Linked DNA regions of Bombyx mori. The protein of the gene in region 1 purifies or fractionates together with the protein of each later gene. This does not show direct contact. Links are inferred from orthologs where the notes say so. Each region holds a gene or a part of one and is shown in the gene's direction. Other genes may lie near its edges.

Region 1 (8,966 bases):
CGATCAGTACGAGGCTTTGTGGCGGACTGCCGGCGCAGCAGCCCGGCGCGCATTTCGTGTGACATGCGCAATCAGGCGCATAACGCATTTCGTGTGACATGCTAGTACGATTTTGGTCCCCATAATTTTCATACCCCGGGCCTATATATGTAAATCGATTCTAAAGGAGTAAACTCCAAAAATGTGTGTGTGTCCGCTCCGACGCACGACTGGAGTTTACTGGATATAAATATAAATTTGTGTCAGTTGAATACAGTAAAATATGGAAGTTACGTATTCTAGTGAGAATGATCCGGGAGTTGCGGAACACGTGGATGCGGTAATTAAGTAAGTCTATATAATTCACTTTTACAATTAATATATAAGTTGTCCATTCACTGATAGAAGGAATTGTTTATATTTAATAAGCTTTATTAATAAATGATTTGTAGCGGGTTATATTCGGGTATCAACCCACTAACAGTTGATACGTTCAGGAATCGAACCCGAACGGCGTCCGGCCACAAGCAAAACGATGTCGGTAAATTAAACGAAACAATACGAGAAATAGTTCTATATTACGACAACACGATACACTACAGATTATTAACAAATTAACGAGACACAAAACAAACGACTAACAAATATATGAAAATACAATAATGAGAGAAACGCGCGATCAGTACGAGGCTTTGTGGCGGACTGCCGGCGCAGCAGCCCGGCGTCACCTGCGATAACGCGGCCGCGCGTTGGCTCCTGATTGGCCAATCAGGAGCCAATCAGGCGCATAACGCATTTCGTGTGACATGCTATACTCTCTAGTACGATTTTGGTCCCCATAATTTTCATACCCCGGGCCTATATATGTAAATCGATTCTTAAGGAGTAAACTCCAAAAATAAAATAATTTATACTTTAATGGGAAGTAAGTAGGTATATTGTTATGTGCAAATATGATATGATTTAGATGTGTGAAATCTAAGACAAGTTCGTCCTTCGAATTTGCCAAGTAAACGATATGATGATTTTTAAAAGTTGCTACACTGATTTTATAAAGTTGTCGTTTGTCGCAAAACATAAAGATATGGCGTAGTACAGTGCCATCTGCCCATTTCTAGCATGCTAAATGTTATCGTATTTTGAGTACGTGTTTTTCTTAGACTATTACAATCTATTTTAATTGTTTTGCTGACCTAAAGTCCGTAACACACTACCGCAGCGCACCTCAAGGAAGGTGCGCCGCACCATTTGAATCACTTTCACGTGAGAGTGATTCAAATTTTAAACTTATCGTAGGACCGCGTGAAAAAAAAAACACCTATAGTCGGATTTTTAATTAGACGAAGCCAGCTGACAGTAGCTAATGTCACTTTGTGAAATAATGTTGCTATATTTAAAGTAATAGTGATGCGTTTAGTTCTCGTTCAATCACATGAATGAACAATGAGTGTGAAGAATTAATCATTAATTTCAAACTATAAAAGAATATTATTTATATTTTACAATAAAATTGTATTAAAGTGCTCCAATATATGTTACTAGTAGTATGTAACTACAATCAGTATTTTGGAGTTTACTCCTTAAGAATCGATTTACATATATAGGCCCGGGGTATGAAAATTATGGGGACCAAAATCGTACTAGAGAGTATAGCATGTCACACGAAATGCGTTATGCGCCTGATTGGCTCCTGATTGGCCAATCAGGAGCCAACGCGCGGCCGCGTTATCGCAGGTGACGCCGGGCTGCTGCGCCGGCAGTCCGCCACAAAGCCTCGTACTGATCGCGCGTTTCTCTCATTATTGTATTTTCATATATTTGTTAGTCGTTTGTTTTGTGTCTCGTTAATTTGTTAATAATCTGTAGTGTATCGTGTTGTCGTAATATAGAACTATTTCTCGTATTGTTTCGTTTAATTTACCGACATCGTTTTGCTTGTGGCCGGACGCCGTTCGGGTTCGATTCCTGAACGTATCAACTGTTAGTGGGTTGATACCCGAATATAACCCGCTACAAATCATTTATTAATAAAGCTTATTAAATATAAACAATTCCTTCTATCAGTGAATGGACAACTTATATATTAATTGTAAAAGTGAATTATATAGACTTACTTAATTACCGCATCCACGTGTTCCGCAACTCCCGGATCATTCTCACTAGAATACGTAACTTCCATATTTTACTGTATTCAACTGACACAAATTTATATTTATATCCAGTAAACTCCAGTCGTGCGTCGGAGCGGACACACACACTTTTTTTTATTTTCGTTACATACCTATAATTGTTATATTTTATACATCTATAATTTCAACTATCTGATGTATTGGAAATAGGACAGTTTTACAAGCTTCCTCGCAATGTTTTTCATAATGTTTAAAACACTCGGTATTCAGTACAGGTAGATACTATAGGAACATAATATTTCGTCGAAAACTCGTTGGTATGTACAAAGCACGCATAAAATACGAACCCCGTACCCGATATCGGCAATTCGGCACACCTACTATTCATTAGACAATCGAGGCAATTTCATTAATTCAGGAGTTTTTTCAATCGTTCACTTTGTCACAACACTATTTTTATTTCATCAAAACCTGACAACACAGTAAACGTCAGTTTACTTCGTCTAATAAAAAATCCCACTATACAGAACATTTATTCATTAATTACAAACGTCATTCCTTGTGACTTCCTCTCTAAAATCACTTAATTATTAAATATTTACCGAATTTACAATAGTGTTTTATTCACTGCGGCATAAAACTATTTTATTTAAATAGTTCCGAAGAGATTTTGTCGGTAGCCTTTTTCCCGAAATATCTAAACAGAATGTCAATAATATGTTTTGATGACATATTTTAAAGAGGTATTTATAATTAGTGTCATGATCAATAGATTCCGACCGAAAAATGATTTTTCGGATGAGGGCTCCGTAATGAATTTAAATATATATAGATAATAGTTTTGGGGCATCGACTTTCTTGAGATCCTATAAAATACGTTTTAATTATTATTTTTGTATGTTTTAAGCATGATAAAATATGAAATTTTATATAAGCAATCATATTAAATCGCAACCCAAAACAGACGGCCGAACTGACGTGACAATGACATTTGGAGCGCTCAACATGGCGGATTTTCGGCCTCATTAGACATTTACGTATATTCATGTTTCATTTTATGTACGCACTGAAATACTGTTATATTATTTTCCTGCGAGTTAAAGTGCTGAGTAAGAACGAGATAGATATATGTTTATGTGTGTGCCTTCAAAATGGGTGCTATTTATATAAGCAATTGTACGTATAGTACAATATGTCGTGTCCCTACTATATAGGTCTATGATAATCTATGATAAAAGTGAACTATAAATGACAGCCCCAAACTAATGAACATTTTCCAAATAAGATATGACCTAAAGGTCTCTGTCACCACGTCATAAAATTAAAAAAAAAAACAAAAATGACAGCGACTTTTTGGCGGGAACGGAGGAGTGAAGTTGTGTGATTTGTTTTATTTTGTCTATTTGGTGTTTCTTCAGGTTTAAATGTGTAATAATGGTGGTTTATTAACTGTTTAGTATCTGTGAAAGTGCACAAATGTGGGAAAATGAAACAAAGCCGCCGGACGTCACTTCTCGGGATCCTCCAAAAAGTCCAACGAAAAAGTCTCAGTAAATGACCACCAATTTACTGAGATTATATTTCATCCCATATCATCTCATTTCATTTCATTTGATTTCATCCCAGTTGATTAATGTCTCAAATTAATCATCTTCATTTCATTTCATAATTTTTCATAAAAATAAGAGTATAAATTAAAATAAGACATGACTTAAAAGTCTTAGCTACCAGGTCATAAAATACCTAAAAAAAGAGAAAAAAAAATGACAGCGACTTTTTGGGGGGAACGTGAGGAGTGAAGTTGTGTGATTTGTTTTATTTTGTCTATTTAGTGTTTCTTCAGGTTTAAATGTGTAATAACGGTGGTTTATTAACTGTTTAATATCTGTGAAAGTGCACAAATGTGGTAAAATGAAACAAAGCCGCTGGACGTAACTTATCGGGATCCTCCAAAAAGTCCACTAAAAAAATTTCAGTAAATAACCACCATTTTACTGAGATTATATTTCATCCCATATCATCTCATCATGAATACTTGTATATTCAATTGTCCTTCGACATGTCCACCACCATTGTCAATACATTGACGGGCAAGTTTCATTAACTCGTTTTTAACGAGAGAAGTGCGCTTCTATGTCTTTTCACTTCGTCAAAAGCGTCCAATATGCGCTGTTTTAATTGTGCGAGCCTAACCGGCTCGCTTCTGTACACACATCTCTTAATTTCACTCCACAAAAGAAGTCCATGGGCGTGAGGTCAGGTGAGCGTGGAGGCCAAGCTACAGGCCCAATGCAGAAAATAATACATTTGCTTCGGTATTGTTCAGTATCCTGATGCAAAATGAAATCCTCGCTACATAATCAACGGTGGTTAATTCCTGAGATTTCCTGTAGTGATATGGATATAATCCGGCCTTATTAACAATCTTCCAGGCACAGGACTGGCTGTTGTTAAACCGTCGAGCAGTGTCATTTGTACTCCGTCGGGGATCCTCTTCAAAATACGCTAGTACATCGTCGTACAGATTTTGTCACAACGCCAGTCTTCCTCGTTCTTGACTATGTGACGGTGCGTGGAATGAACCGTGATCAAGCAAATGCTGGTAAGCATTTACCACGGTTCGCACATTTGGCTGTCGGGCGTTCGGGTACTCTTCCCTGTACATACGTACAGCTGCACTCGCGTTCGGGTATTCTTCCCTGTACATACGTACAGCTGCACTCGCATTTTCTCCACTCAAAAAGTACCCACGAAGCATAGCTACATACTCCCGTGATGTGAACTGATAAGCCATCGCATCAGGGAAAACTTAAACAAACAACTGTTGCAACGAAAAAAAGCATGCGCACACTTCCGCTAACAATTTAGTAGTGTTTAGGTTTTTGTCGTTATTGTTGAGTTGAGTTGACTTGAGTTTCCTGGAATTTATCAATGGAGCAGCGCCCCGTAGATACTAAAACCCTGCCGCACGTACTTTCGGTCATTGATTTAGTTATTTAGCATTTACCAATTATTACGTATTTTTATGGACAGTTCTGAGACTTCGTGTTTTTTTTATTTTTAACTACCATATAATATGATTAGTTAAAGATACTTAGAGCCCAGTTAATTTTTTTGTACTAATTTAAAAATAGTGGTGTATAGTTATAGGACCACGCGCCTGTTATGACAACAAATTTACTGAACATATAATTACGGTAACATTAAGGTTATTATGAGAATTAAATAACTCGCTTTTGGCCCCAAATTTAAAAACGACCCATTGATCATCACACGATATAATCTTTTGATACACACACACATGTTCGTTGGTGTCACTTCTTCGTCATTTAATTTAAATAGTTGGAAGTGAAGAGATCGACCTTCTCTATAGAAACATAAACACATTGTCATTAGTCTGCCAAAAATTGCTAAGACAAACAACTAGGTATACCCACATCAATTCTAACGAAGTGGTACAACAGTTAAATTAATATGCTTTTTGAGATTACATTGAAATGGCTGTTCCAGATGTTTGTATTGTGAAAATTTTGTTGAATATGTTTCAAATGACAGATGAAATTATTATTTTATTTCTATAGAATTTTTACGGCAACAATTTGTTGGCATGAAGAGAAACTAAAATCCATAAAAAGATGAAAATGAAACAGGACTGTAACCCAAAGAGTAAAAAAAGTAGATCTGAGATAAAAAAAAAATTAATTGTATTAATGCCGGCCACTGACATGCGCGCAAATATTCGTACATTGTACGAATGTTTGCGCGCATGTAAAGGGCCGTCAAACATTCATTCGCAAACCTAGCGGCTGTGCAAATGGGTTCGCATACTCAATTTGCGAACCCGTTTGCGCTTCCTCCTACACTTGTTTACGAATGTCTCACGAATTTCTCCTCCTTTTTAATTCGTCAATAGAACATTGAAAAGAAAAAGATTTTTGAATTCTTTCCCAGACATGATTAACAGCCATGCTGTTTTTATGGGATTTCTTTTGATGAAGATACGCTACACAGTAGACGTCACGAACTATGAAAACGGCGTTACCTTCGCAATCGTCGGCGCAACTGGGCAAGCGAATGTGTGGGAGACTACGCGAAGGTTCGAGGTTCGCGCGCTTTGATGTCTGTTAAAAAACCGACACAGCTTGGAAAACCACGAATGCAGCGAAAACTTTGCATAATCATTCGCAAATGTCGTCCTACACTTGCGGGTTTGCGTATTCGTGCGCATGTGAGTGACAGAGTGAGTAATGGACAAACTAAGCCAGAATAGTCTATGACTACCCCTACGTGTTAAGTGTATTATCTATGACTACGTGTCTGGAATCTATCGAGTGATTAAAAATAAAGGATTGTGGGTAGGTACCTACATACCTTATCTAAAAAATGGAATAGTGGGACTTGATAATTTAAAAGATAGATATATCATCGAGTTTTGAAAAGAATCGATGAGATGAAATGATAAATATTGTACACACATGAATGTACTATGAAAGTACGTAATTATTTGAACGCTATTGGTTTTCTAAGTAAGTATTGGAATGTAAAATTGTGAAATACTGCCTCAATTATGTAAATTGTAAGTTTTCATTTTCAAACAAAATATCCCCAATCATTAACAAGTAAAGCATATGTGTGGTGTAACAGTACTGTTTGACTTAATGTAATTTACTTATCAAACAAAGTTGACAACGTTTTTTCTGTAAAACTTTATAGGTGAAGACTGAAGACTACAATGCGATGCTTCCTCGAAGGCGAAATATAGGCGTTACAGAAAGACTCTTGGAAACAGAAACGGATTCATACAATAAATTAGATAAGAAAGGTGTTCATTACGGGGAATCGCGGCCTTACGAGAACTCATCAAATTCCAAATCAACATTGATTCTTAAATCATCTGACCAGGACGTGTTTAAATTTTTAGAAGAATTTGTTTTTGAACCAGTTATGGCTTCAAGAGATAGAACAAGTGAATTCATTTCAACTGTACGCAGTCTCCAAGGACGTTTCTTAAACAAACCAACCGTAAGAGATGATAGAAAAGCTGCTGTGTTGGAAACTTACTCCCAATTCATGAGTATGGCAAAAGTAATTAGTAAGAATATTACTAGTACATATACCAAATTGGAAAAGTTAGCCTTGTGTAAGTATTTTAAATGATTCAGGCATAAGTCCAATATGAAGTGTTATATTCTTTTCATTTATTGCTTTTATAAAATGTTAAATAAACATTTTTTTTTAATAAGATGTAAAAGAAACGCTACATTTGCTATAAACTAGGTACAAAGAAATTGTTCTCTAAAATGAAGTTAGGTCATAGAGGTAATGATACCAATACAAACAAAAATTGCCCTACAAGATTTATATTTTATGTATGTTACTGTATATCAAATCATGAAATTCAAAATTAATATTGTGAAAAAAAATAACAAAATAACTTCTTCAGCTACCTAAATGAATGAAGTAAAATTAATTGAAGTTCAACCAATCATGTGAAATTCAAGTGAAAACATCGAACTGTTGATGGTAATATCAAATAAAAACGTTAATTACTGAGATAAATGTAGTGTATTGAGCGAAACGTCTTTTAAACCAAACAGCCTTTCACTCCTCAATATATATAAAATATAAAAAATGAATATATCAAGAATATGATAACAGTCATTTACCACTAAGTTAATCTTAGTTTACAATTTATGACAAATTAATTAAACAACATCCCTTTGTAATCAGATTATTTTACAGTTCTTATAGGAAAATTTACTTGAAATGTTTAATAATTGTGTTGCAGTGGCTAAGAGGAAATCATTATTTGATGACCGTCCCACAGAAATTCAAGAACTAACTTATATTATTAAAGGAGACTTAAATTCTTTAAATCAACAAATTGCCAGACTAGGTGAAATGCCAAGAGGTCGTCGCAGTATGCACAGTCATTCATCTAGTGTTGTACTCGCATTACAGTCACGCCTTGCTTCAATGAGTAATCAATTTAAACAGGTAATTTGTTCCTACATATAATTGGTTCCTGGATATTTAAAACTTTGTAAAAATGGTTTATGCTCTTCTGAATTAACAATACCAAGTAAACTGATATGCTTTCATAAATATGAAGCTAAATTTATAAGCATATATATAGGAGCACGTTGCTAGAGTTGGCGAGCGATTAAAGAGCTATCCCTCCGGGAGCCGTGCTTTTTGGTCGCTCGCCAAAGCTGCAGAAGGAAACTTTTGCAGGTCTAGTCTCCCACCACTGCGCAAGTCCGATGACACTCTGGCCCACAGCGCGAAAGAGAAGGCTGACCTTCTGGTCAAACTCTTCGCCTCGAACTCAACTGTGGACGACGGGGGTGCCACACCACCGAACATCCCCTGGTGTGATAGTTCCCTGCCGGAGATCTGCTTTACACAGTGTGCAGTCAGGCGGGAACTCCGACTCCTGGACGTCCATAAGTCGAGTGGGCCAGACGGCATCCCTGCAGTGGTTCTGAAAACGTGCGCCCCTGAGCTGACACCTGCGCTAACGCGTTTGTATCGCCTCTCTTATTGCGCTAACAGGGTTCCGTCTTCATGGAAGACCGCCCACGTCCACCCTATCTCCAAGAAGGGTGACCGGTCGGACCCGTCGAGCTATAGGCCTATCGCGATAACTTCCTTGCTTTCCAAGGTGATGGAGCGAATAATAAATACACAACTCCTGAAGTATCTTGAGGATCGCCAGCTGATCAGTGACCGACAGTACGGTTTCCGTCACGGTCGCTCAGCTGGCGATCTTCTTGTATACCTTACTCACAGGTGGGCTGAAGCCTTGGAGAGCAAGGGCGAGGCTCTTGCTGTGAGCCTTGATATCGCGAAGGCCTT
Region 2 (8,699 bases), on another chromosome or scaffold:
AAATATTTAGTGCTTTTATTTTAAAAATTAATTCACTGTTAAATTAATACGTTCTGAAGAAATGAATCGAATTCAAAATAGTGCACGATTTTATTTCTCTCTTACGTTGGCTAACCTAGGTGATAATACTGTAGAGTACATTCAAAGGTGGAACTGAAATGAATGCACTATTTTGAGCGTGTTCACGACATAGTCTGTGTAATGGAGTATGATGACGTGTTGTGTCAAATTTAGTTAAAATAGACGAAACGTGCATTGCTTCTATTATAAATGGTAAAAAATCAATAATACAGATTTATACATATTTTATATATTTACATATTTAAAATAAGATAAAAAAAAAACAAGAAAGTATATCAAATGATTAGTGTGTAAGTTATATTTATATTAGGTGCACGTTTCGTCTGATTACTGAAAAGGGTTAGTGAGCCTTAAGAGAAACGAATGTCGTGTTAAATGGGTGCTATGATGTGGGACCGACGGACAGACTCGCACACCACGCTGACGATCCGATCCACGAGTATAACGAGACATGCCAGTGCGTTAATTGTTTTAAAATGACGATTTAGTGAAACGATCTCAGTGTTATAACTACGAACAAAACCAGTGCCCGTTGTGCGTGTGATCTATATTTTTATTAATGTGGATTTTTATCATATTTTTATATAATATCTAGTTGAAATTCTATCGTTTCGGCTGTTTTAATTCTTCTTCTTTTGTAAATACGTCTTTTAGAATTTAACTTATTTATTTTTATAAACGCTTTGAGCATCCCACGCCAGGCACAGCCGCGTGTCAGCGAGCCCGGAGGGATCTCAAAACGTTTGTTTTTCCTTTTTAGGAAATTTCGTTCTGTAGGTTACAAATTTTATTGTAAAATATCTATTGTTAAATATAAGATAGTGTAATGAATGGACCACGGGAGGAGAAGAAACGCTCTCAGAAGTAATCGGCAGTTTGTGATGCAACGCGCGAGATGTTAGTTACCGATTTGTATGGATGTTTGAGCAAGCATTTAAAATGATGCTCGGAAAAAGTTTTTAAAAAAAAATTAAAATAATTTTAGTCGAATTGATGTTATTGATAAAAATCAAAGTTTCTAATAAATAATTAATGTACTTAAAAATTTTCAATGTAAATTTTTATGGCACCTCAAAATGAATGATTTTAAAATTGAGCCTAGTCTTAGTATCATAATTTGTTAAAAAGAAAAACGCGGACGCCATATTGGCGCAGTGGCGTCGCAACGCGGGCACATGCGGCCCTTGTGCAATGTACAAATGTACATTCGACGAAAACGCACACCCTCACTAGCCACGTGATGGCGTCGCTAGATAGTTCAAGTATGAAATTTGTGCGTGGAAGCAACGAGAAGGTTAGTGAATTTGGTATTAGGGCGGGGAGGGCGCTGCGGTCGCACGGCAGCACGCGATTAAATGTTTCGAAGTTGCATGCTATTTCGATGTACGTTTATCTAAATGTAATTAATGTCCAAGTGTGTATTTCAATACGTAATTCATTCCGGATGAACGTGTTTGTTGCGTGTCGTTAGTTTAATTTCATTACCTTGAACAATAGACGGCGCTTCCTTCGTTTTTGCTTCAAAATTATTATTTTTTAATTCTGAGAGTTAGAATGTGTAAATGTGAAATTTTGTGTTATATTTGCTTTTAGTTTTTAATGCAATTACAGTCCGATAATTTTTAATTAACTTTAACATAGATTTTGTTAATTTTACAAGATAATGTATTTTCTGCCCCCTAGTTAAGTTATTTTTCTAATGTATAGTTAGTTGTAAGTGTAAATGATTTAGTACGTAATTTGATGCATGATGATAATGTTAATAAAATATCCACAAAAAATATATCTTTATTATTTATTCTCCGTTTCCCTTTATGATTTAAAAACACAATAATCATTTAATGAAGAAATGAAAAATTTGAGCTTACTATAGAAATTATCCTATGAAGTCTAAAATTTAAAAACAAATACCGCGAGATAAATTTAAAAATACGCTTTATTGAGTTGTCGATGATACTTATTTATTTATTTATTATTATCCTATGGCTCATCTATTGGAGTGTTGACCGAGGGTGGCGATACCTACATGCGAGCCGCAACCTACTACAGTGCGCTTAGTGCGAGTTTTTTAACGTTCTCCATAGCGTAAAAGTTAACTCAACATTTGCAGTTGGAACAACACCCCTAGCCGCGAACGTAGGCAAACGTTCCAAATCCATACGAATTTGAGTTATCTTCTACGCTAATAGTTTGTCATTTAGTGTGCAATCTATAACCAAACATCATGGTATTACTTGATTGAGATTAATAATTAAATTTCTTTGCCAAAATTTGGGTATAAATTAATTGAACCTTATGTATTATATTCTCCTATCTGAAAATTATTTAAGACACCAACTTTCTAAGAATCTCCCACTTAACTGTAAACTTAACGCTGGTCATAACACTCCTAATACAGTTGCCAATGTTAATATTGTAGATTACCTATGATTATAAGTAGTGTTAGCCTCTCTATGAGTGTGTGTAATCAATCACGACTAGTACGATCTAGTCCTAATCCATTCAAATACTTCATCAAAATACCCAATCCACATAGCCTTGTTCCGTTCAGTTTCCAGTCCTGTACATGGCATAGTACTTGTACTGTACTTGACTGGCTACTGGCTAATAGACTAATCCACTTCATCGCGTGGGCCTCGGACTTCAGCAAAGCACCCAATGACGACATATGCATGCATTTGTTTTACCAACAGTCTCAAATGCCGCGGCCGCTGCTGCCCGGGAGTCGTTCACCAGAGAAGCAACCAGCATGCTGTCACTGGTACCTTGCTCAGCTAGACTAGCCTTTTATAATAAATACGGAGTTTACTGCGTTATTTATTTGATTAGACCCGTTACCTTCTCGTATCCGAATTTACATGATATTAACACCTATGTAACGGGTAGCTATCAGAGATTTTTTTATGGGATTTTATGACCTGGTAACTAAGACCTTTAAATCATGTCTTATTTTAATTTATATTCTTATTTTTATGAAAAATGATAATATGGAGTGAAATGAAATGAAATGAAGATGATTAATTTGAGACATTAAACTGGGATGAAATTAAATTAAATGAGATGAGATTATATGGTATGAAATATAATCTCAGTAAAATGGTGGTTGGTCATTTACTGAGACTTTTTCAGTGGACTTTTTGGAGGATCCCGAGAAGTTACGTTCAGCGGCTTTGTTTGATTTTCCCACATTTGTGCACATTCACAGATATTAAACAGTCAATAAACCACCGTTATTACATATTTAAACCTGAAGAAACACTAAATAGACAAAATAAAACAAATCACACAACTTCACTCCTCGCTTCCCGCCCAAAAGGCCGCTATCAGAGAATGCGAAGATATTTTACAGAATCCTGAGTCTCGCTAACGACATTTTCAAGATAAGTTTCAATACTTTTATACAAATTCCGGACAACAATATTCGGACTGTTGGTCTACCAAGCAATTCACCCGCTCATTGCAAGATCTTCCCTTTGTCTTATAAACAAAACCTGTTTTAGTAAAAAAGCTTTTCTTCTAGTAATAAAGTGTACTGAAAAAATTTAAGTTCAATTCAATTCTTACTGGTGGTAGGACCTCTTGTGAGTCCGCGCGGGTAAGTACCACCACCCCGCCTACTTCTGCCGTGAAGCAGTAATGCGTTTCGGTTTGAAGGGCGGGGCAGCCGTTGTAACTATACTTGAGACCTTAGAACTTATATCTCAAGGTGAGTGGCGCATTTACGTCGTAGATATCTATGGGCTCCAGTAACCACTTAACACCAGGTGGGCTGTGAGCTCGTCCACCCATCTAAGCAATAAAAAATAAAAGTAATATGTGTACTCTTTTTACCACAAGTAGATAGTTTGATGGATCGAAAAGACAATAATTTCACGTAAAATAGCAAGTCCAAAGTGTGACTTTCTGATTGGTAACACTGCTAGTTGACGTGTTGTTGTCATGTCAGTCCACTTGACGTGTAAGCACAGCTGTCGTGGTATTGAGAACCTATTGAGTTTTCTTCATGTTTTCAAAACTATGAGAAGGAAAAAACCTTAAATTAAAGTTGAACTCAATTACATAAATTTTATGTTTAAGTGAGAGACATTTTAACTTTAAATATGGTGTTAATGACTATGATTGCAAGAGTCGCCGACGGGCTGCCTTTGGCTGCCACTATGCAAGAGGATGAGCAGGTATTTAGAATGCTCTATAATCATTTTCTATGATAACATATTTCGTCATATATACATTTCTTTCGTATCTTTTTGTTTCATGTATTAGTATTTTTATTTTTAAATTGCAATTTTGTTTATTATTTTTGTTTGTTGTAATTATAATTTAATTTGCTGTAATGATTTGCAGAGCGGGTGCAATATACTCGAGTACCAGAATCAGGCTAAAATGCTGTTTAGGAAATTAAGCCCTCAGTCCCCGATGAGATGTTCCATTGAAACCGGCCCGTATCTCTTCCAGTGAGTCACAGTTCATTTATGTCAATTAAACCTATATCATTTTAAACAAAAATAGTCCAACAAAAAATCTATATGCAAAACGTTTTTGAAAGTAATATGTACACAGTAGCTTCTTACCTAATTCACCATTTAAATGTTTAGCCAGACATAACTTTCTGACATAGGACATTGTGCACCTGTAATATATTATTACATATGCTACTACTATACTTATTTGCAACATACAATATGATACAATATGACTATTGTGAAAATCAATTTATATTGTATAACAACCCAGAGATGTTACAGCTTATGGGCATTTTAATATCAACAATTATATCAATATGGTACAAGTTTTAAAATCGGACTGTAAAGTACAATTTTATATTATTTGTCTATTCTTTTACTCGTTTTTTAGCACAAAACCCCTAAAATTTATAATGCTTTTTAAGTATTGGCTTTGTAGAATGATTTTTAAGTATGGTTTTGTTTTTTTATTTGAGTTTTTGCTAGGTTTTATTATGTGAGCTGCAAAACTAACTATGTTATATACTTGGAAGCTGCTATGTCTTTATTGTGAGACTGGTGCGATAGTACTGAGCCATATGTTCAATTAAATATTGTTATGTACAACACATGTTCTACTAAAATTCAAAATGCAATGGAATTAACTCTGAATGTAAACATGTTATTATGCATTTAGTTTTATCATGTACTGGTTGGGTGATCAGGCTCACAAGCCACCTAGTGTTAAGTGACTAAGTAACCTTACAATATCACAAACTGCCATATGTGCTTGTTCGCATACACTTTTAGGCATGTTATTCGTGGTGGGGTCAACATCACATTGACTGCTGGGTGTTTGCCTGATTTTTCCTTATAATATTAGTAATAGATTCACATGAGGACATGCACAATTAATATTGTTGTGAGCCACCAGTATACCGAGCAGCTTATGAAAATAAACAGTGGCGCCTTAAGGAACATTTTACATAATTCTAATCTATTGATAATAATGCCTGTTTTTGTGAAATAATGGTTTTAAGAAATAAAATTTCTCTTTTCAGTTATTTGATTGAAAATCACATATGTTATTTGGTCCTGTGTGAAAGAAACTACAGTAAACGACTAGCATTCAATTATCTCGAGGAAATAGCACAGGAATTCTTCCAACAGTACGGACACAGGGTCTGTTTTTAATTTATTAAAATTACAAAATTTTCTTTCAGTTTCAATCTGAGGAACAGATTTTTTAATTGGGTGTTATTTGTAGTCTATCTAGTTTTTTTTTTCCTACCTTATCTGATAGTCTTGAGAGGCTATATCAGCGTCGCCTTAACTAGTAGGTGAGCTCGTGGGGCTCAAGCCTGATGACGTTACTAACACGAACCCTAGCAAGAGCCGTGCTTCGCAGAATCTAAAACCAGATCGGAAAACCGACCCACTGAGAAGCTGCTTAGTGTTAATCAATCACTGGCAGCATGTAGATACCAGAACAAGAATAACAGCACCTGCTGACTCCACCTACTCTGGAATAAAAATATCTCAATATTCAAATTGGAATGCATCATTATTTGAGTTACAGTTTTAGTTTCATTATACAAACAATCAGAATAGGTCTACCATCCCAGTATTAAGAACTAAACATCTGAGATAAAAAAAAATACATAAGTTAATCGTGAACATTTGCTAAGTACGTATATCATTATTGAAATTAGAAAAATTGGTACCCGCCTGCGGGATTCGATCACCGGTGCATCGCTACATACAAATGCACGGGCGTCTTATCCTTTGGGCCACGACGACTTAAAGTGACTTTAAGTACATTTCAAGTTAATCAACCGAATTCTTAAAGACCGAACCGAAAGGAAGACTCGACTTCTGCATTGTGTGTTCAATGATATTTAAACTACAGCGTTATTTATAGAAATGAGTTTGTCCACAGTTGAACACCGTGACTCGTCCGTACACGTTCATAGAGTTCGACACGTGCATGCAGCGCACGCGGAAGCAGTACGCGGAGGGCGGCGCGCGCGCCCGCCGGGCCGGCGCCGCCTCGCACCTGGCGCCGCAGCTGGGCGACGTGCAGCGCATCATGATGCAGAACATCGACGACGTGCTGCAGAGGGGAGCTATACTGTCCGGTAAATGCCTTCATCTTCTCCATTTTTGTATTGATAAATCACCTCCATCCCTAATTTTATCTAATTTTTACACGGGTATAATATTGTTATAATGTACCGGTCTTGCAATTGGCACCACATCACTTGAAAACCTGTCTTTTTATTTTTTTATTGCTTAGTTGGGTGGATGAGCTCACGGCCCACCTGATGTTGACCTTGAGATATGAGTTCTAAGGTCTCAGTATAGTTACAACGGCTGCCCCACCCTTCAAACCGAAACGCATTACTGCTTCACGGCAGAAATAGGCAGGATGGTGGTACCTACCCGTGCAGACTCACAAAAGTCCCACAACCAGTAATTAAGCAAATTACAATTTTGCGGTCTTAATATGTTATTTAGTCAACCTCCCTTACGTTTAAGTTATAATAGTTGTCAATGTTCTACCATATCTTTAACCACTGCGAGTAGTATATCTGTCTGGAACCACTGCATTCACCCACAGTGTGTTTTCAGAGGTCAAACTTTAGTTATGTACCATCCGGCTCCGACATAGACTCTATCAGCATAGGTGGGAGAAAAAAATTTTTTTTCGTGAATTTCCAGAATATGGTTATTCAATTTTACGTGATTTAACTTTCAGAACTGGACACGAAGACGCAAAACCTATCGATGATGTCGCAGAAGTACCGGAAGGACGCCACGTATCTCAACACGAAGTCGATGCTGGTGAAGGTGACCGCCGGAGCCGTTATCGTGCTCGTGATTGTGCTTTACTTCTGGGTTCTCTAGATGATTCCATGATAGTTACGGTTTGTCTCGGGGAAATGAGCGCGACTTATAATTAACACAACAACAAATACATATCGTCGCTGTCAAACCAAAATCAGCTATGTGCAAAAACTCTATTTTGAATTAACGAGTAAAAACATTTTCGTATAAAATTTTATATGAAAGTGGATTTTTAAGAACTATATTAAATGAAAGCTACAGATAAATATTAAAGCTATAGACAAATAACAGTTTTTTTATACTTTGGATAAGGCTGTGAACTATACAAAAAGGTCAAAACGTAAAAATCTCAAAAAGTGCCCATAGTAGATTTTGGTTTGACAGCGACGACATATTATTCAAAACGAAAACAATGATGGTGAATTATAATTATAGCAAAACATTACTATTTAATTGTTCTTATTTATTATTAATCACGTATGAGCAGATTGATGTTGCAGGAGTGGTAGGCGTCCACCGCCTACCGCCATGTACGGTCTGAATGAGGTTGTTGACCCCCATATTTTGTACGCGCGTTCATTGCGTGTTTCCAAAATCTATTATTCCAACATGTTTATTATTTTTCGCCTCGCTTAATATGAGTCAGTATAATGATAATTTGAATTTTTATTGCCCCGGTAATTAGAATTTCTACTTTGGAAACGCCCTTAAATGATCGATGCCCGCACTACCTGTCACATTGATAATACCTACACTGCTAACAGACTTAACTGTCAGCGCTTAGAATCCATAGACAACAAAAAATTTTTTTTTGAGTCCTTTTGACTATTCAATTATTTTTTTGACCGATTTTTATAATTATTTGAGAACTATTATGATCTTAAATCTATTCTACGGTTTAAACCAAAATATGTCTCTCCGGCCCATAATTATAGAATTCAAAAACCCAGAGCCATGTTTATTTCACATTCGTGTGAAAGCGTCATATGGGACTCAGTGTTTAAATTACTCATTCCAGTAACTCAATTCTTCCTCAACGTATTTGAATTTGTGAATAATATATAAATTAAAAATATATGTCAAAAGCAATAAATAAGAAATGTATGTATAATGTTGTTTTTTTAATCCTTTGCTATCTATAGTTCACGCCAATTTCAAGAGACCAGTTGCTAAAATCGTATGTAACATGTGAAATAAAATCAATGCAAAATTATTTAAAAAGTAAATCTGTTAAAAAAAATATATGTATAAAATACACATATTATATTAAACAAGTTGACATATTTTTCAAAAGAGAACACGCTTTTGGTGTTTCAAAACAGAAATAAA
Region 3 (7,195 bases), on another chromosome or scaffold:
ATATTTTGCACTTGGTGTCCGCTGAATCTCCTTGTTGCGTTTAAAAATAAAGCCGTATACAATTAGTAAATACAGTTTTGTATCTTAACGTGTTTAAAATTGTAATTAAAATTTTCAGAAAAAATAAACAATTTTATTTAAAATGGTGACAGTTTTAACTTTTTAACTGCAATTTGACAAAATTAAATGGTTATTTCATTTTAGTTTTAAATTTTGTACTTTCTTGTATATTGTTTTATGTAAATAATGTGTACATATAAAAATATAACTCATTTGGATATATCAAGGCTACATTGTGAATGACTAATTACTCTACTGTATTAGGATCGATGTGTAGCTAGCTATAGATAGCAATATCGAAAACAGTCAGATCTAGAAATTGTATTATCATATTTTAAAGTACTGTTTATTTTATGTACATACTTTTTTATACTTTCTGATAATTCTAATAGATAATGCCTTTTCACGAAGGCGACGAAGAAGTTATGAACTACTTAGAGAACTGCTGAAGATGACACAATAATATCATTAATCATTAAAATTTTAAAATTTTATTATGAATTTACAATTTCATTGGAATGATTTAATACATCAATAAAATTAAAATGTGAAGAAAAATCAAACGTCATGAAATCCAGAGCGATTACCTACAGGTAACTAAATTTGACTAAGAGGTTTGCTTTTATAGCTTTAAATAACGTCAGGCTTCACTTGAGCACTAAAGCAAAATAGTTATTTGGGTAGAATACTCAAATTAAATGACAGTCAAACGGCAGCCTAAAATTAGTGAACCTAGGTCATTACTTCCTAGAGGTTCTCTGAGTACATATTATTATAATTAACGGACGGACAATTGTAAGAGGGACGTGTAGGCTTATGAAATGCATTCTATTAACACTGCTAATTATGAGGCTTAAATATTTTTTGCAAAAGAAACTAATATTTTTATTGGATTTATTTTTCGTGTGCGATTTTTGTTGTAGAGCTTAATATGTTAAATAAGAAATAGGCAAGTTGACTGAATATCTTTAATGCCTCGTAAATAGCGAATCAAGGGAATCGAAATAAAAGATTGTTCAGAAATAAAGAAGTTGTAAGCGTTTTCATTTCAAACTAGACAGAACAAACTATATCAATATTAGACGAGACATATTAGGTGAGAAACCTTGCTTATGACAAAATTCTATAATGCTTTCTATTCAAGGAAATTTTTAGCAAACTAAAACCCAAACCTAGCTTATAACCTAAACTTTTAAACGCTTATAGTATCTCTGAACTCGAGTTTTGTTTGTCCTCCATACCTTTCTAAATCTTTCATCGGAATGTGATGAAAATTGGTAAAATTTTTGTTCGCGCTGTAGAAAATGTTTCTGTCGTATTATCATAGGAGAGTATATGGCACTCCAGTAATTCCAAAAAATCTATGTTTATCATACTATTTGGGGTAGTACCCAGTATAGTAGTATTAGTGGGTGAAACCCAGAATACCGAAGCGTATTCTGGGTTTCACCAGTTAATACTTTTTTAATAGCTGAATCCATTATCTTTGGATCTATGATTTCGTTGCAGAGGTTCTCAACAGAGGCTTCAAATCGTTGATTTTCGGGTATTATAAAAAGTCGCATTCGGTTTCGTAAACATTTTTAAAGGGAAAACGTGTGTTTTTTCACTATCCGAGAAACAACATTGTCGCGACAGAAGATAAAACGTTAATTAAGTCACCTCGTGAAATTTAAAAACAGACTTATCTAGTTTTCATATACAGAGGGTAGATTGACTTTTTAAATATGTTCGTCTTCTTGCCTAAACTACCTTCCTCCAAGTATGTTTTAGGAATACCGGCTCTAAAGCTGATGCGTTAGTCGCAGTGGTAACGATTAGGTACGTGGTAGTCGATCGTCAAACTGTTTTGATTTTTCTCCCTCAGAATGATAGTTTACGACATAATAAGTACTTTGCAGCGAAGCTGGGATGGTTCTCTAACATATTCTAAATGCTAATCGCCTATCTTATTTAATTATACATATTCTTGATGGACTACTCATCACATAATATTATTCATATGCTACTGTCATCATTTGAGTTTGTTTCAAGGATTATATGACTACTATTATTTAGCAGCAAAAAGCTAGGCATTCATTGAATAATGTTTTTTTTTAATTTTATATCTGCGTGAATAAAAACAAACTGAAATTAATTAGATACTTAATTCAGTAGAAAATATTAACAACAATCTTATGTATATGTAGATTTATAATTTTTGTTCAATCAGTTTTTCTATATTATGTTCTGAAATCAACTGCTATGTGCAATACATTCCCCTCGAGGCACATTAAATTTTTATGTAAGTAGTAATAAGAAAGCTTTATTCTTCGATAGTTACTGACTGTTAAAACTTTGTACAATAATAATTATTGAAAAATAAAATAATTGAGTATGTATGTAGCATGTTTTATTAAATTATTAATTATTTTGCGTTCTGCGTTCAGCGACTTATTAAAAGTTCACAAGAGAAGGTATATTATGTAAACCCGTTCCAACTTCCAAGCGCACGAATTCTGAGCGGCAGATGGGAAGTCGAGCACCAAGTCGAAAAAGCATGAAGTTCATGCGCGTGCAAAATCAAAAGAAAATGTTAAAAAGACGTTGTAGGGCCCGGGAATAGCTAATTAACGGCGGCTTAAAAGGGATAAGAAAAAGTTTGCAGGTTGAATTATCGTTTAATTACTTTGAAAGCATTTTCGGAAATACATTTTCTTGATTGAACAGATTAAAAACTTTTCATGCGATATGAGTGCGCCAATGCTTAATTAAACTGTTCGAAAAACCAGTTTCCATGTTTTTTTTTTAAAGGGCCTTCTGATATTATTATCAACGTTGAAAATTGTAATTTAAATAAAGTACGAATCACGACATTTTTTAAATCAAAGTGCCTCAACGTTGCGATGTAAACAAGAAATATTTATCTGCATAATCTACTTTCTAAATATAATTTTTTTAATTTATCTATAATAATTGTGAAAACCCACGATTAATTTGGGAAATTGGGCAGTATGTGTCCAGTCCGCACGGGTAGGTACCACCACCCTGCCTATTTTTGCAGTGAAACCAAGGTGGATGGTGCATTTACGTTGTAGATGTCTATGGACTCCAGTAACCACAAGACCAGGTGGGCTGTGAGCTCGTCCACCCATCTAAGCAATAAAAAAAATCAATATTAGTAGGTTTATTTATTTATTTTTTAGTTCTGAAGCTGATTGTCTCGTGAGTATTAGGAATTGCAATATTTTGTTTTTATATATGCTTCCACTTGTTCCTTAATTTTGTGGTCGTGCTCATCGTTAGTTACGTGTCACGGTACTGTAACACAGAATTCTCTGTGTTTCGCCTATTGCGGGATAGCCCTAAGTATTTTCCTTCATCAGCTCGTAGGATTTCAGTTCTACTATGTGACTGGTAGACTGAAAGATGAGCGTTGAAGACTTTTTTCTCTACCTAATCGCTGGTAGCCCTAAGGGTCTATTCCAGCTAATCACCGACTGGTAGGTGAGGTCATTCAATCTGAGAGTTTGCTAGCACTGGCCCTAGCAATAGTAGTGTTTCGCAGAATCTACCACCGGATCGGAATTGTAAACCACTGAAAAGACCCGGTGAGAAACCCAGTGAGTTGTGTCTATGAGCTAGTTCGCACGTCGAACTCTGACGGGAACGCGAGGAGCGAAGTTGTGTGAATTGTTCTATTTTGTTAATTTATAATAGCGGTGCTTTATTAACTGTTTAGTATCTGTGTAAGTGCACATTGTGGGAAAATAAAACAAAGCCACTGGACGTAGCTTCTCGAGTTCTTTCAAAACGTTCACTGAGAAAGTTTAAGTAAATAAACACCATTTACTGAGACCCGCATTATCAAGTTTCATTTAATTTCATCTCAAATGATTAAAATTTCAAATTAATCAACATTATTTCAATGCGGTCCATTAAATTTGTCATAAAACGAAATATGCATAATATTAGGAGACCTTCGTCTTTTCAGTTGGATAAATGGAGCTACTACTACTATTGACAGTTGACATTTGAGTCAGATAAACACGTAGGAGACTATCACATCTAACACAACTACATAAAAGCAAATTATATACTTACTGTAAACCATGTATGTTTTCAATGTGTCCAGATTATTAAATTAGTGTTTTTTTTTCATATCCTATTACAAATTGACAAAAACAAACAATATTTTATAGTAAATAGGCGGCAAGTAGATCCAAAATTAAATAAACGTCTAACGAAGGACGTAATTAACCAAGACCTGATTATCATCATCACTCTTGTGTCTTGCTGCTAATCAAAACGGCGGGCCGAACGAATATGAGGCGAGCCCGCGAAGGCTACCACTATCAGCCAGTGCCCAGAGTAGCTACGGAAGATACTATCGAAAATGAAAATGAACGAATGGCTGAAGAACTCAGTGGCAAGATATCTTCACTTAAATACATTTCCATTGAGTTAGGCAATGAAGTAAGGGACCAAGAAAAACTTTTGCGTGGATTAGATGATGATGTTGACAGAAGCTCAGGTTTCCTTGGAAAAACCATGGGAAGAGTTTTAAGGCTTGGCAAAGGGAACCACAACTATTATATTTTCTATCTATTCCTCTTCTCCATTTTTGTGTTCTTTTTGTTGTATATTATTTTAAAATTTAGATGATTTTCATTACCCATCCATCACTCCTGTGTATTATAAGTGTTTCGAAATAAATTTTGTATATGTTGAAATGTAAATAAAACATATGTATAAATTAAATGTTTATTTTATTTCACTTATTCCACAACTTTTACAATATGTTTCAATGATAAGTACTAGCTTGCACAGGTAGGTGTCAACATTTAATTTTTTCCTTCACTAAGTAACCATATGTTGTTTGAAGGACAGCCATAATAAAATACAATTGAGCCTTTAACCTTAGCTCTAAAGATAGTCAGCGGTATTTAAGTTTTGATTGTTATCTATAGGCTTAGGTATCCACTTAACTCACTCACCTACTTATGCAACAAATAAGTATAATACTTAAAATGATGCTCATATGTGATCATTAGTAAGTATTCCCTATAATAATTATGCTAACTAGTTTTTAAACTTCAATCAAAAGTATAATTCTTTTAAGATTTTACAAAAATCATCGCCTACAACTTCTTTACTTACAGCAACAAATAAATTACATGGCTTTCCGAGTGAAACAGAACAGATCCGTACACTGTCCATCAACAGAGCAATAATCCCATAAATGTTTTGTTGGTTGTTTCTACTGAAGAACTTGCTTAAGTCATCTAAAATAATTGTTGAGGGCACATTCTGCCAATCTGGTAGTGTTGAAACACTGTCTATAAGTGCTTCAATAGTTTCTACATAAAGAAAACTAATCATTTTCATGAAATGTCTATTCACTGAATTTAAATCTTGTGATAATGTGGGTAGCTGACTTAATTCTTCATGGAGAATATAAAGAACTCTTCCGTTTTCTGCACTGGATAAAGCTTCTTTAAAAAGATTTATTCTGTTTAAACTTGTTTCTTCAAAGTAGAATTGTATTTTGTTACCTTCCATAGCAAATACATTCAATTTCTGAAGTAGCTAATATAAACATCAAAATGCGCTATCTAAAAATTTGGCAAAAATAACAAGAAATAAGCAAGTAAAAAGTATTTTCATTTATGTTTATTTATAAATTTTAGTGCCTATTTCAAATACTTAGGTCATCTTTTCTCACTAAGTAATATGTATTATGTATCTCACATCTCTTTCTATTTAGTTCACACATTAATTTATTAGTTTTTTTTTGGTTCTGGCACGTTTTGTGTATTAGCCAGTGTCAAATAATAATATTTTTATAATTCGCCGTTTTAATTATTTACAGTTTATGAATAATAAAAAACGAAGGAAACTGTCCGTGTTAACCATTATTAATATTAGTGTAAGTTTGAATGAAATTAGCAGCGTGGTACGGTATAGATAATTGATGTTGAGAAAGTAATTTGATTAATGTAGTAATTAACTCTGCACATGATAATATGAAGTGAAATGTAATGAAGTTGATTAATATTATTAAACATGGCATAAAATGAAATGAAATGAGATGAGACGAACGAGATGATATGGATGAAATATAATCTCAGTAAAATGATGGTTATTTACTAAGACTGTCTCAGTGGACTTTTTGGGGGATCCCGAGAAGTTACGTCCAGCGGCTTTGTTTCATTTTCCCACATTTGTGCACTTTCACAGATATTAAACAGTTAATAAACCACCGTTATTACACATTTAAAGCTGGCGAAACACTAAATAGACAAAATAAAAACAAATCACACAACTTCACTCCTCGCGTTCCCGCCAAAAAAGTCACTGAGCCGTTAGTATTACACCGGTCACTCACATGCGCACGAATACGCAAACCCGCAGGTGTAGGACGACATTTGCGAATGATTATGCAAAGTTTTCGCTGCATTCGTGATTTTCCAAGCTGTGTCGGTTTTTTAACAGACATCAAAGCGCGCGAACCCGTTTGCGCTTCCTCCTACACTTGTTTACGAATGTCTTACGAATTTCTCCTCCTTTTTAATTCGTCAATAGAACATTGAAGAGAAAAAGAGTTTTTAATTCTTTCCCAGACATCATTAACAGCCATGCTGTTTTTATGGGATTTCTTTTGATGAAGATACGCTACACAGTAGACGTCACGAACTATGAAAATGGCGATACGTCCGTTACCTTTGCAATTGTCGGCGCAACTGGGCAAGCGAATGTGTGGGAGACTACGCGAAGGTTAGAGGTTCGCGCGCTTTGATGTCTGTTAAAAAACCGACACAACTTGGAAAACCACGAATGCAGCGAAAACTTTGCATAGTCATTTGCAAATGTCGTCCTACACTTGCGGGTTTGCGTATTCGTGCGCATGTGAGTGACCGGTGTAACAGCACAGATTATAGAATTACTACTTACACTATCGGCACGCTATGATGGTCGTTTTGACATATTACAATAGTGATGTGAAATGACAATTTATTCCCGAAAAAAATATAATGAAATCTATAAGTTTTTATTGCAAGTAGTACCTGATTAAAAAGGTTTAATAAAACAAAAATATAAATGCTTACTTAATATATTTGAACGATCTGAATATTGGAATTAAAATGAATATACA

The links.
Region 2: the proteins of syntaxin 5A (region 1) and vesicle-trafficking protein SEC22b-B purify together in Homo sapiens (co-immunoprecipitation; 4 studies listed by BioGRID and IntAct, counting the BioPlex papers as one, with this or other methods). This does not show direct contact. The link is inferred for Bombyx mori from reciprocal best matches to the Homo sapiens genes STX5 and SEC22B.
Region 3: the proteins of syntaxin 5A (region 1) and BET1-like protein purify together in Homo sapiens (affinity purification with mass spectrometry; 3 studies listed by BioGRID and IntAct, with this or other methods). This does not show direct contact. The link is inferred for Bombyx mori from reciprocal best matches to the Homo sapiens genes STX5 and BET1.

The regions. Positions count from the first base shown.
Region 1 is NC_085118.1:10,686,418-10,695,383, reverse strand, and holds the start of syntaxin 5A, read left to right. Parts: upstream 1-3,884; 5' UTR 3,885-4,685; coding exon 4,686-4,710; intron 4,711-6,059; coding exon 6,060-6,211; intron 6,212-6,382; exon of another isoform or gene 6,383-6,594; coding exon of another isoform or gene 6,595-6,600; exon of another isoform or gene 6,601-6,634; intron 6,635-6,821; coding exon 6,822-7,248; intron 7,249-7,896; coding exon 7,897-8,105; intron 8,106-8,966. UniProt on the Homo sapiens protein: Mediates endoplasmic reticulum to Golgi transport.
Region 2 is NC_085121.1:558,343-567,041, reverse strand, and holds the start of vesicle-trafficking protein SEC22b-B, read left to right. Parts: upstream 1-4,001; 5' UTR 4,002-4,181; coding exon 4,182-4,256; intron 4,257-4,425; coding exon 4,426-4,535; intron 4,536-5,584; coding exon 5,585-5,705; intron 5,706-6,462; coding exon 6,463-6,661; intron 6,662-7,281; coding exon 7,282-7,430; 3' UTR 7,431-8,699. UniProt on the Homo sapiens protein: SNARE involved in targeting and fusion of ER-derived transport vesicles with the Golgi complex as well as Golgi-derived retrograde transport vesicles with the ER.
Region 3 is NC_085114.1:8,350,302-8,357,496, forward strand, and holds BET1-like protein, read left to right. Parts: upstream 1-4,082; 5' UTR 4,083-4,365; coding exon 4,366-4,704; 3' UTR 4,705-4,797; downstream 4,798-7,195. UniProt on the Homo sapiens protein: Required for vesicular transport from the ER to the Golgi complex. Functions as a SNARE involved in the docking process of ER-derived vesicles with the cis-Golgi membrane.